2 linked regions of the Kluyveromyces lactis genome follow. The protein of the gene in region 2 interacts with the protein of the main gene of each other region in a biochemical or structural test. Links are inferred from orthologs where the notes say so. Each region holds a gene or a part of one and is shown on either strand. Other genes may lie near its edges.

Region 1 (2,217 bases), on a different chromosome or scaffold from region 2:
GTGTTTCAACACAGAACGTACCTTACTAACAACGTTCAAACCCATCTATGAAGACATAACACGCTGATCTCTACTCTTTTCCAAGGCTTGTAAGACCGATGAGCTAGGTGATAAATAATAAACTGCAATCGATATAACCAGAACTAACACAGGTGTTGACAAGTTATACTTGAAGCTTAATTGTTGGAGCATACAATTTAGAATGACTTCTACAATTTTACCACTCAATTGAATTCCAATTTTGCAAAATTTTAGACCTAATCGATAGTTCGTATCCTTTATATACTTTAAAATCCAAATCAAAGTACCAATGCCTTACCCCGAATTACCAATACAAATGACTAGCCTAAGATGAAAACCTTAAGACAGACACAAGAAAATATACTTTCGAACAATGACAAATGTTCAAAATGTATAATAATGTATAATGATGTATAATAACATTGATATTTCTGAGGGAGTGCTGATCCTTTTGCAACTTACTCATCTTATATAAGCTCTCATCGGGTCCTGCAATAAAGTTCCTCTCCCTTTAGTAAGAGCTGACACATTTTTTTTTTCTGTCTACATTTAATAAGCAAGTATTCGCAACGAGTGTGATGCAGGGATGCTTATCGTGGTGCATTACCCTGATTAGTCAGGGTAATAAACTCAGTGTCTGCTTCAACACATTTGACTTTTATGGTTTTCAGTCAAGTAAATATTGAAATCCATATGAAAGGATGAACTTATTATTCAATTCAGAGTAATTATTTGTTAATAACGATAACACATTACATTCTTTATTAATGATGTTTTCTTGGCTAAAAAACGAATAATATTGATCATAGACAACTGCAGTGATCGAGCAAACTACACCTCGTTATAAGAAATACGTTATATTGGATATTCTGGTGAACGTTTTATATACTAAGGAAAAAAATACGATAGAATAGTTTGTCCTTGTTAATCATCATAGGTTATCTTCAAATTTAAGGAGAAAAGAAAAAGAGCATACAAGGTATACCTTCGGACCTTTATTCATACTTTTTAGTCACAAATTACCATGTCTAGGAAGAAGAATATTCTAAAAGTTATCATTCTAGGTGATTCGGGTGTTGGTAAGACATCTTTGATGCACAGATATGTCAACGACAAGTATTCTCAACAATATAAGGCTACGATAGGAGCAGATTTTCTTACCAAGGAAGTCATTGTGAATGACGATAAGGTTGCGACGATGCAAGTATGGGACACTGCTGGTCAGGAGAGATTCCAATCGCTTGGTGTTGCATTTTACAGAGGTGCTGATTGTTGCGTGTTAGTATACGATGTGACCAATGGTAAGTCGTTCGATAATGTGAAGTCGTGGAGAGATGAGTTTTTGGTTCATGCGAACGTCTCCTCGCCAGAAACCTTCCCATTTGTAATTCTAGCTAATAAAGTTGACGTAGAAGAATCGAAAAAAGTGGTTTCTTCTAGATCTGCGCAGGAGCAAGCTAAATCCTTGGGAAACGTACCTCTGTTCTTTACTAGTGCCAAGGATTCCATTAATGTCCAGGACGCATTTGAGGAAATCGCACGCAGCGCATTACAACAAAGTCAATCTGATGCGGATGCGTATGAGGACGACCTAAGCGAAGCTATCAATATTCAGTTGGACGGAGAACCTAGCTCATGTAACTGTTAACTGATAAAGCATGCGTCTCATCAAATACGACTGAAAGGGAAGGGAACAAATAGATTTTGTTGTCTTTTGCCCTTCCCTTACTTTCTTCACGCTAACCGTCAGAAAACACGCGTATTAGCGTTGGATTGTTCCCATACCGTATAGATACATCTCGGAACGAATCTTCAAGCAAATCTAATTTAACACACCTACATAGAAAATCTAAAGAAACTACGCTCCTTCGTGTAATTAGTCTTAATGTAATGTAATCTAAATCTCGAGTTGATATTAGAGTAACCATTAGCATGATTAGACTCTGCACAACACGTTTTGTTTGACACCTCTTTGGTGTCTTTGACCCCGACTTCTGTTTCTGATATGCGCACTTTATATAAACATTTGTACAGACACATGCCACACGTGCCGAAAAGTTTAATCTTCAATACGCTCTGGTAATTGCCGAAATGCAAGAACAAACTTCATACCAGTCGAAAACCTCGATCTGGTTGCGTCTAAGCTTGCTAGCCGTATTTCTAGTATAGTCACCCTTTTGATAATATATATATATA
Region 2 (3,005 bases):
AAATTAATAAAACAGTGCCTTCTTAACCTAAAAGCTAGCGAACGTGTGGTCGTTGATTTTAGTCTACAATTATAGGTAGTGTATATTTTTCTATAACCCCTTATTCTCTAATCACACACACGGAGCCTAATAAATAACAGGGCAAATATTTCAAATGCAAACCTCAATATAACTGCGGAAAAGAACTATATTACGTTGAGAGTTATTTCTACTACAACTAAGCTGCTCTGTATTCGGTGTAACACGTTGAAAGAGGGAGTAGTCATACCAGATTTGACCTCCGAGAATAAACCATAAAGTTCCCACCAACCTAAATAATCGAACCCTTTTTATATGCAGTTTTTTTCCCAAAATTATCCACTGCTTTACCAATTTTGTCAAATTTCCGATTGTTTCTGAGATTACATGGAAGAACGGATCAACTTCTCGCTTTAAAACCGCAACAAACACATGCCAATTTTCTTAGCCCCATCAGTCCAGTCAGCACAAGTAACTCTGTAAACCCCACAATAGCTAAAGATCTCGCACAACTAAAGTACTACATACAACCACCATTTTCATTTACATTTGTCAGTCATCAATTGCTTGCCTTTTACCCCAGATTCCGCAACATTAATGCACCGGCCGCTTTCTTTTTTCCGTTGTCCTCCCTATATTTCTGGGGTTTCCTGGAACAGCCGTAGGCCGTATTTTATGCAAGGCGATAGTAAGACGCACAAAATTTGCTTCCAGATGCAGGTTTTACATCATCCACAAAAAACAGCCTCTGTTCAAATCCCGACTGAGCTAATTTCCCCTTTTTCATTCAATATGGTTTTGTTGATCACGTGATTGGTGTATTACCCATTTACTCTCGGGGCAGAAAAAAAGAAGTCTTTGTCGTAAGAATTGAATATGAAAGTTAAAATGAAGAACAGAACAATGAATAAAATAGTGGTTACATATGTAGAAGTCTTTCCTCACGTGTATACTTTTTACTTCATTTGTTCTTGATATCGATTAAGCAAAGATACACTTCACTCGAACATAAGTGAGATTTCTTGGGCTGGCCCATTCTTTTTCCTAAATTTGCTAAACCAATTATTGTTTGTTTCCCTGGTAATTCTGCGAACTCTTGTCTTTGAATAATGGAAGTGTCGCCAGAGAGGTATGCTCCACACCTCTCTGAGTTTTATTCAATGATGAATGGAAAATCTAATAACAATTCAAACGATAGCACTAAAGACAAAACCAATACTGGCTCTCTTTCTCCATCGCCAGCGTCGCCCGAAACTGGAAACATGAGAAGACCGTCCTCCATCAGGTCTGGTCTAAGTACCTGTAGTATTACTGATCTTCGAGCATTGGTTAGTAAGGAAGATATTAAGAAAACTGAGAGCGGTGTAAAAAGTTTAGCGGATAAAATTTCAAAGTATTCTCAGAAGTTGAACGAGTTAGCTCAGTTCTCAACAGATATAGCGTTTGAATTGGAAGATATGGCACGCTTAAAAGGGTGCAGTGACCTTACAGCAGACAAATTTGTCAATGCTAGTGGTTTGTTCCATCTTGTGTCAAACCATGATAGAATCATCTCCAATTGTTGCGAGGAAGTGGTGACGAAAGGTTTGAATGCGAAAGTTGAAGTGTTAGAGACCGATTTCAAGAAGGAAGAAGTAGAATTCAAGAAACTGTTCAAGGAACAAAGTATTAAATTGAAGTTGCAAGAAAGGTATAATATGAATTTAGCGAAAAGGAAAATACGTAATTTGATTTCGTATCGTGATAACTTGTCCCTATTACAACAGCAGTTGGATCAATTGGAAATGCTTAAACACGATTATTATCAAAAGTCATACGAAATGGTAGAATCAACTTGTCAGGCAGTTCTCAGAGATATAGCTACATTGGCAAGAGCACAGATTGAGATAAGTGAAAATATTGCAAGAAAAGGTTGGTCCGGTGGAGGATTAGATAACTTGATAATAGACGCTGATGATCCTTTCAATACCGGTAATGAAGAAGAAAACGATGACAACGAACTTTCCCAACTATCTGGCGCATCTTCGCCAGGTTATTCACGGTCGAGTACTCTCACTCCTAAGAAAAATAGTTCACACTCATCTGATGCGTCTCTACTAAACGGATCTAGGCGATTGCAATCACCAGCGAAAGTGATGGTAACGACAGATGAAAATAAAGATAAAGATGATAACTCCGCTCATGAACATAACAACAGCAACTCCCCTAGTTTCCACTCCGAAAATCAGACAGAATCTGGGACTGATAACTCTGAAGATGCAGAAAATGACGACGGGGATGATAATTTCGATAACTCATTTTCTTTACCATTAACTAGTGCTTCGAATAACAAAGAAGTAAATAACTCGGATTCTAAGGATATTGTACTAGGGACTGATGATGTTATGAAATCTACCAGTGAACTGAATATTGACGATCAATCAAGTATTATTTCTCCCAGTTTGTGATTGAGGTATCCAAAAATGTAAAGCGGATCATGATTGATGAATGTTTTTGACATAATTGGGAATAAATATATGTAATTTTGTAACACTATAAAATGATAAAAAAAAACAGAGTCATAACAGATCACCAAATTGGTATATGCCCCATCCAAGGCTCCCTTGGCATTTGTTGTACAATTCTTTAACATTTAAATCGTCTTCTGTAGGTTCCGCAGCGCCAAGTGCTACAATTATAGGCACGAAATGATCCAAAGTTGGATGAGCTTTAAACAATAGCTCCTTACTCTTACCATCAGTAAAAAACGCCTTGAATTTATCCAGTTTATTATGCTGCTTCGTTAATAGGATATCGTTGAGAACTGACGTAAATTCTTCACTGTAATGTTTGCTACCAGCAGATCCCATATCACGTAAATTATGGACACTCATTCCACTTGTTAAAACTATACCACCCTTAGAACGATATTCTGAAAGAATTTGACCCAATTTGTATTGACTATCAAAATCGAGATCGTTACGGGTCAATGAAACTTGCACCAATGG

The links. The genes of interacting proteins can lie anywhere in the genome.
Region 1: the proteins of IVY1 (region 2) and YPT7 form a complex in vitro, tested with the Saccharomyces cerevisiae proteins (2 studies listed by BioGRID). The link is inferred for Kluyveromyces lactis from reciprocal best matches to the Saccharomyces cerevisiae genes IVY1 and YPT7.

Annotation. Positions count from the first base shown.
Region 1 is NC_006040.1:109,739-111,955, forward strand, and holds YPT7 (Rab family GTPase YPT7), read left to right. Parts: upstream 1-1,045; coding exon 1,046-1,669; downstream 1,670-2,217. Other genes in the region: KLLA0_D01243g (pirin family protein), read right to left, coding at 1-45. UniProt on the Saccharomyces cerevisiae protein: Ypt/Rab-type GTPases are key regulators of membrane trafficking and intracellular vesicular transport.
Region 2 is NC_006039.1:1,303,974-1,306,978, forward strand, and holds IVY1 (Ivy1p), read left to right. Parts: upstream 1-1,127; coding exon 1,128-2,465; downstream 2,466-3,005. Other genes in the region: KLLA0_C14993g (DODA-type extradiol aromatic ring-opening family dioxygenase), read right to left, coding at 2,577-3,005. UniProt on the Saccharomyces cerevisiae protein: May be required for vacuolar fusion. Overexpression leads to fragmentation of vacuoles, missorting of the vacuolar enzyme carboxypeptidase Y (CPY) to the exterior of the cell and accumulation of multivesicular bodies inside the cell.